2 linked regions of the Canis lupus familiaris genome follow. The protein of the gene in region 2 interacts with the protein of the main gene of each other region in a biochemical or structural test. Links are inferred from orthologs where the notes say so. Each region holds a gene or a part of one and is shown on either strand. Other genes may lie near its edges.

Region 1 (3,934 bases), on a different chromosome or scaffold from region 2:
CAATGCTGCTCCCCTTCAGTACACGAGATCAATGCTTTTTTTTTTTTTAATTGATAATACTGTCAAGCTAAAGAGGCATTAACTTCTTCAAATAGCAAAATCCAATGAAATAATAAAAGAAATCTGCGAAGTCTACGTATACAACTCTCTTTCACAATCCAAACCCAAAACCCAATGGATTTGGTTAAATACTGATCCCAGGAACAAGAGATTCAGATAGTAAGGCAGTGGTGGCGTCATTCCATCCTTGCTGTCACCTGTCAGAGTACTGCACCTATGACAAGGTCCTCTCCAAGTAAAAAGATGAGCTGTTATTTCACACAAACATAAATGGCAAGAATACTAAACAGGTCTACTACCATCCCTCTATAACAATTCTGACAACACATTTTCAGGAAGTACATGTTGCTGATGTAAAACAGCCACTGTGCCAGGGTTCAAATTAATCATGGTGCTTTCTGCAAAGATAAGGAATGGTTTGTTGTGTGTATATTTGAACATTACAATTCAGCATACTGAATGTGCTTCACAGAATAAAACTAGTATGAAAGCTAGAGTCTAAGAGGAACAACCCTACATAATTCGTTTTTATAAAAAGTCCATTCCCAGGTTAATTTTAAAGAAATCCCTCCTCCTGTCAGCCATGGCACCTCCTTCTTGGCATATATCACATGGAAAGAGAGCCTCACCCCTGGAAGTCTCATGAAGATCCCAGCTTCACCCTCCAGGCCTGACGGCAGACAGAGCACCAACACAAGAGTGCCTACCTACCATCAGCTCAATGGTCTTGGTTAAGTGCCCCTCAGACAGAACAGGAGCTAACCAGGAGGTAGATAAAACAGGCATAAAGCCACATTCCTAAGAGGACAATATGAATGAAGAGCAATCTGAAAAGGTAGGTGAATGCTTAAATCATCATAATGACTTTCATTTTCAAAGTTTCTAATCACTTCATGTGAGTTGCCTATGGTCATAGTGTTGACAGCAGTCACGGCCAGAACCCAAATCAAGCCAAATCAAGCACAGTTTCATGTCTACCACAATGTTTCCAACAGTTTACGCATATATGTAGCCTACGCTTTTCACAGAAGCAACATGCCTCAAAGCATTCTTACCTGACTAGCGAGAGAGAGTATAAATGCCCAGTCTTCTTGCCACTGTTCTTCTCTCAAGGAAAAATGTAAACCAAAGCTCTGAGAATACCATGATTCCCAATCTTTCCAACGTGTATAAAACCTAAAAAAGCAAGATTGCAAAAGATAAGCCTTCTATAAATGTTCTAATCATTTATTTAATGGAGTCTGTCTTTAAGCAATTCCTGTAAAGAGAACAGCAATTTTATTAATCTTACCCAGTTTGCAATATACTTTCAAACTAAAAATGCCTAGCAGACATCATTTAACACATTCTCACACATAATTTAATTCACCACCCAACATGTTTTCACCAAAACTTTAAATATTAGTGATAAGAACAATCAATTTCAACTGTCTACTACTGGTTTAAAGGTTAAAAACCAAAAAGCAAACACTCAGAATCATCTGAGATGCTGGATATAAAGATGCTACATTTCTACATTACTATTTAGTATTCACTACTTGATCACTGTGTAAATAATAAACTAGAAATAGCCCATGTATTCACAACAGTATCAAAATCACTTCCAGGGCAAGGCCCTAAATCTTTCTGACTCTATGAAGGCTCAGAAAGATGAGGAAACCATCAAAGAGAAATCTGAAGGTAGCAGAGTTGGTTCATGAGGTTTAAAGGAAGAAGCCATCTCATCTCCAGACATCAAAGTGTAAGGTGAACTGACAAGTGATGTAGAAGCTACAGCAAATTCTCCAGAAGATCTAGCTAAAATAATGAATGTAGGTAACTACACTAAACAAATTTTCAATGTAGATGAAACAGCCTTCTATAGGAAGAAGATGCCTTCTGGGACTGACATAGCTAGAGAGAAGTCAGTACCTGCTTTCAAAGGACACGCTCTCTTGTTAAGGGGCTCATGCAGCTAGTGACTTTAAGGGCCATCCCAGGGCCCTTAATAATTATGCTAAATATACTCTATTTTAAAAAAAGCCTGAATGACAGTACATCCATTTACAGTATAATTTACTGAATATTTTAAACCCACTGTTGACACCTACCCCCCCAGATTTATTTAAAAAAAAAAAAAAACTCCTTTCAAATTATTACTGCTCACCGACAATGCACCTGGTCACCCAAGAGCTTTGATGGAGATGGACAATCAGATTGTTTTCATGCCTGCTGCTAACACAACATCCATTCTGCAGCCCATGATCAAGGAGTAATTTCGACTTTCATTATTCCAAGTAAGCCTCTAGCTGCCATTCCACAGATGGATCTGGGCAAAAGAAACTGAAAAACTTCTGGAAAGGATTCACCATTCTGGATGCAACTAAGAATGTTCCTGATCTAAGGAAAGAGGTCAAAATATTAACATTTACAGGCGTTTGGTAGAAGCAGATTACAACCCTCTGGATGACTTTGAGGGGTTCAAGACCTGAAAGAAGGAAGTAACTGCAGATGTGGTGGGAATAACAAGAGAACTAGAATGAGAAGTAGAACCTAGAGATGGGACTGAACTGCTGCAATCTCCAGACACAACTTGAACAGATGAGAACTTGCTTGTGATGGATGAGCAACGACAGTGGTTATTTATTTATTTATTTATTTATGTATTTATTTATTTTGCAAAGGAATCTAATCCTGGCAAAAATGCTATCAAGACTGTTGAAATCACAACAAAGGATTGAGAATATCACATAACTGAGCTGATAAAGCAGCAGCAGGGTTTGAAAGGACCAACTCCAATGCTGAAAGGAATACTGTGGATAAAATGCCATCAAACAGCATCACGCACTATAGGGAAATCATTCATGAGGAGTCTATCAATGGAGCAATCTTCGCTGTAATCTCACTTTAAGAAACTGCCACAGCCACCTCTACCTTCAGCCACCAGCATCCTGATCGGCCAGGAGCCATCAACCTTGAAGCAAGACCCTTCGCCAGCAAAAAGATCGGGACTCAATGAAAGTTCAGATGATGGCTGGGGTCTCTCAACAGAGACCTTAAAATTAAAACGTATAGTTTTTTTAAGACCTAATGGCTACTGCACACTTGACTACAGACTATAATATACTGGAAACATTAACTTTTATACGCACTGGGAAACCAAAATATTCCTTTACTTGATTAAAATATTCACTATTGCAGCCGTCTAGAACTAAATCCACCTATCTCCAAGGTATGCCTGTACATATTATACATCCAATCAGGTTACCATCTAGGCTTGCCAGCTAGGAAGCGTTTTAATTTTTTTCAGGTGACCTCAAATTTTTCCTCTTTTGTATTATGCTTTGATTTATAATTTAGCTATCAAAAAAGTGATCAAATTGCTCTCATTTTCAAATTCTAGAGAGTACTTTCATTCAGTAGTGTTTACGGTGTACTTACTAGGTCAGGCTACTGGAGGCACTACATCTTCCACAACGAAACACAACAAAATCTCTGTTCTCATGGAGTTTATGTTCTAATGGACTTCACATAATCCCTAAATACTCACAACAAAATTTACCTAGTAAATGCTCAGATATTACATAAGAGGTACTAGGGTAGTAACATCTTTTGGATTAAGGCCGTTATCATTACCGTGTTCAATTAGGTATGGGGGGGAGCATACTTTAATTAATTTAGCTTCTTTCACCCTCAATTTTTCTCACTTATGACAACTGAGACAATGTATATACAGAACCAAGAAAATACCATTAAGTCAAGACCAGTCATATACCTGGTTGGATGCTGGGTAAAAAATAAGACACAGGTTTCCGCTACTATCTGAAAGTTTGCTTCATGCCCCTTTGCTTTTATGAAAGACCTACATTAGTACCTGTTCTTGCTAGCTGAAAAG
Region 2 (4,200 bases):
TGAGGCGAAGGACCAGGTGCAGAGTGGACTCCTTCTGGATGTTGTAGTCGGACAGGGTGCGCCCATCTTCCAGCTGTTTGCCAGCAAAGATCAACCTCTGCTGGTCAGGGGGGATGCCCTCCTTGTCCTGGATCTTCGCCTTGACGTTCTCGATGGTGTCACTGGGCTCCACCTCCAGGGTGATGGTCTTACCCGTCAAGGTCTTCACGAAGATCTGCATGCCCCCCCTGAGGCGAAGGACCAGGTGCAGAGTGGACTCCTTCTGGATGTTGTAGTCGGACAGGGTGCGCCCATCTTCCAGCTGTTTGCCGGCAAAGATCAACCTCTGCTGGTCAGGGGGGATGCCCTCCTTGTCCTGGATCTTCGCCTTGACGTTCTCGATGGTGTCACTGGGCTCCACCTCCAGGGTGATGGTCTTACCCGTCAAAGTCTTCACGAAGATCTGCATGCCCCCCCTGAGGCGAAGGACCAGGTGCAGAGTGGACTCCTTCTGGATGTTGTAGTCGGACAGGGTGCGCCCATCTTCCAGCTGTTTGCCGGCAAAGATCAACCTCTGCTGGTCAGGGGGGATGCCCTCCTTGTCCTGGATCTTCGCCTTGACGTTCTCGATGGTGTCACTGGGCTCCACCTCCAGGGTGATGGTCTTACCCGTCAAGGTCTTCACGAAGATCTGCATGCCCCCCCTGAGGCGAAGGACCAGGTGCAGAGTGGACTCCTTCTGGATGTTGTAGTCGGACAGGGTGCGCCCATCTTCCAGCTGTTTGCCAGCAAAGATCAACCTCTGCTGGTCAGGGGGGATGCCCTCCTTGTCCTGGATCTTCGCCTTGACGTTCTCGATGGTGTCACTGGGCTCCACCTCCAGGGTGATGGTCTTACCCGTCAAGGTCTTCACGAAGATCTGCATGCCCCCCCTGAGGCGAAGGACCAGGTGCAGAGTGGACTCCTTCTGGATGTTGTAGTCGGACAGGGTGCGCCCATCTTCCAGCTGTTTGCCGGCAAAGATCAACCTCTGCTGGTCAGGGGGGATGCCCTCCTTGTCCTGGATCTTCGCCTTGACGTTCTCGATGGTGTCACTGGGCTCCACCTCCAGGGTGATGGTCTTACCCGTCAAAGTCTTCACGAAGATCTGCATGCCCCCCCTGAGGCGAAGGACCAGGTGCAGAGTGGACTCCTTCTGGATGTTGTAGTCGGACAGGGTGCGCCCATCTTCCAGCTGTTTGCCGGCAAAGATCAACCTCTGCTGGTCAGGGGGGATGCCCTCCTTGTCCTGGATCTTCGCCTTGACGTTCTCGATGGTGTCACTGGGCTCCACCTCCAGGGTGATGGTCTTACCCGTCAAGGTCTTCACGAAGATCTGCATGCCCCCCCTGAGGCGAAGGACCAGGTGCAGAGTGGACTCCTTCTGGATGTTGTAGTCGGACAGGGTGCGCCCATCTTCCAGCTGTTTGCCGGCAAAGATCAACCTCTGCTGGTCAGGGGGGATGCCCTCCTTGTCCTGGATCTTCGCCTTGACGTTCTCGATGGTGTCACTGGGCTCCACCTCCAGGGTGATGGTCTTACCCGTCAAGGTCTTCACGAAGATCTGCATGCCCCCCCTGAGGCGAAGGACCAGGTGCAGAGTGGACTCCTTCTGGATGTTGTAGTCGGACAGGGTGCGCCCATCTTCCAGCTGTTTGCCAGCAAAGATCAACCTCTGCTGGTCAGGGGGGATGCCCTCCTTGTCCTGGATCTTCGCCTTGACGTTCTCGATGGTGTCACTGGGCTCCACCTCCAGGGTGATGGTCTTACCCGTCAAAGTCTTCACGAAGATCTGCATTGTCTGTCACAAAAAAACCCAAAAAAACAAAAAAAACAATCCGGAGTGTAACAGACCACTCACATGTGAATAGAACGCTAACAGTTACTGGTCATTTTACACTAACCCAAGAACTAAAATAAACCTCGCCAAAAAACCTAAGGCGAAGAAACAGGACAGGTTTTGGAAACTCAAATAAGCTCCAAAACCAAGTTCCAGGCCCCAGGAGGAGAGAAAGCATGGATACCGGTCAAGTGAAGGCGCCGGCTTCCGTATCTTCCCCTCCCCCCTCAGTGATGTCTGGACCGGACAATCCGCAGGATCTCCCCTCCCCCGCCCCGCCTAACCCTTGTGCCCCGCGACTGACCCAAGCCGGCTCCACACACAGGAACACGCGGCCCCACCCCGGATTGTTAGCTGACAAAGCGATGACATCACATGACCGACGCGACGAGCGGGCCCCCTCCCCCCAAACGGGCGCAGGACTGCTCCGGCACTTCGGGCCCACTCGCCGCGACCGGACACGGAGCGTGGCGCCAGCGGGGCCGCGGAGCACACAGGGGCTTCCCGCCCCCACTCACTGCGCAGAGGGCCCCGTCAGGGCCCCACTGGCTCGGCGCGTCTCGCCCGCTCACAGCCATCCCGTCTCCCGGGCTCCTCACGGCCCCTCGCACCTCGGCTTCTCCCCGCACAGGAGCCGTAGCGGACGCCATTTTGCTGCGCCCCCCCCCCCAAGAGTAACCGCGCTCCGGCGCCGCGGGCAACTCCCCGGGCAGCCGGCTGCCCGGCCCCCCGCCCCTGCAGGGCCCCAAGACCCCCAGGCCCGCGCAGCGGCCCGCTCCTCACCAAGCGGCTGTGACAGAAGCGCACGGAGACGAACAACCGACCTCCCGGCCTCCACGGAACTGCCTGCGCCACGCCCGGCGCCTCCTTATATAACAATCGGCCGCGCCGCTCCGGCGGATCCCTGCGCAGAAACGCCGAGAAGGGACTACTTTTCACCGTCTTCCTGGCCTCCAGGGAGAAAACCACTGCCCCAGAATCTTCTAGGAGCCCCCGGAAACGTCGACCTGTCAAGGCTGGGCTGTAGGGCTGAATCTGGCGAGGAGAGGGCCGCGGTCCCGAGCGCCCGCGCGGAGGGATCAGCGCGCCCGTTGAGTGCTGCGTCCGCGGACGTGGCCGGCGCCGGATGCGAGGGGGGAGGGGGGAGGGGGCGAGCGCGGAGAACAGGGCCCGCGGGAGACGGGAAAACCCGGCGCGGAATCGCCGGGCGTCCGGGGCGAGCTGCCCCTGCCGCGGGACCCAGACACCCCTTCCCCTCGGCCGCAGCGGTCCCCGCGGCTCTCGAGACCCGCCCTGGGCGGAGAGGGGTTGGGCGTCGTGGTCCCTCGCCCCTCCGCGACCGCAGGGGTCCTCGCGCCGGGGCCTGCGGCCCGCCCATCCCCCCGCGCGGGCGCGGACAGGACGGATGACTCGACAGATCGCGGCGCGGGGCGGGAGGTGGGCCCGGGCTGGGCTGGGGCAGCGGGGGAGCAGGGGGTGCGGGACGGCCGAAGGCTAGAAGGGGGCGCAGAAACCCCGCACGCTTTGCCCGCACCTATTCGAGAGGCGTCTGGAAGTCCACCGAACTTTCTAGAATGTCCTTTGGCCTTCCTGTACCACCTACGCCGCCTTGTACTAGATACACACACGGAGGCATCTGGTGGACACTCAGTGGAGCTCAGACGTACAACTTCCTTAGGCCTGGGGTCTCAGAAACACAAGTCCAATCCCAGGCCTGTACATTCGTGGGCGGGGGGGGGGGGGACACAATTTAATATCCCAAATACAAAATTTGGGGCACCTGGGTGACTCAGTGGTTGAGTGCCTTTGGCTCGGGGCGTGACCCCGGGGTCCTGGGATCCAGTCCTGTGTTGAGGTCCCCGCAGGGAGCCTGCTTCTCCCTCTGCCTGTGTCTCTGTTTCTGATGTCTCATGAATAAAGATCTTTTTTTTTTTTTAATAAAGATCTTTAATAAATAATTTAATTACATTGAATTCTATGGCAAAATTCCATTTGAATAAAAGGAGAAAGACTGAAAAATAAAATACCTGAATATGGTGAAAACTTAAAAAGTTTCTGGAAGTTTACAGAGAAAAGTCCTTCACATGCTCAATCCCCCAGCCACTGTCTCTTCTGGAGCTATTCTCTGTTTCAGTGTGGAGGGGGGAAAGATCTTTTCATTTCACCCTCAAAGCTTTCAAGAAAAAAACAAATAGGAAAAGTTGCCTAAACAATGTTCTGCGGTTAAAAAAAGACTCATTCCTGTTTTAAATTATGAATATTGTATTATTTAAATTCTCAAAATGTGAATCAAAACTGCTATGTGTTTTCTTTGGTAACCCATGTAGGTACGTATTTATGAG

The links.
Region 1: of the proteins of UBC (region 2) and ZRANB1, one has a biochemical effect on the other in vitro, tested with the Homo sapiens proteins (10 studies listed by BioGRID and IntAct, with this or other methods). The link is inferred for Canis lupus familiaris from reciprocal best matches to the Homo sapiens genes UBC and ZRANB1.

Annotation. Positions count from the first base shown.
Region 1 is NC_049249.1:34,608,365-34,612,298, reverse strand, and holds part of ZRANB1 (ubiquitin thioesterase ZRANB1), read right to left. Parts: intron 2,440-3,934; exon of another isoform or gene 2,207-2,439; intron 1,237-2,206; coding exon 1,116-1,236; intron 1-1,115. UniProt on the Homo sapiens protein: Ubiquitin thioesterase, which specifically hydrolyzes 'Lys-29'-linked and 'Lys-33'-linked diubiquitin. Also cleaves 'Lys-63'-linked chains, but with 40-fold less efficiency compared to 'Lys-29'-linked ones.
Region 2 is NC_049247.1:5,228,646-5,232,845, reverse strand, and holds the start of UBC (polyubiquitin-C), read right to left. Parts: upstream 2,801-4,200; 5' UTR 2,642-2,800; intron 1,820-2,641; 5' UTR 1,817-1,819; coding exon 1-1,816.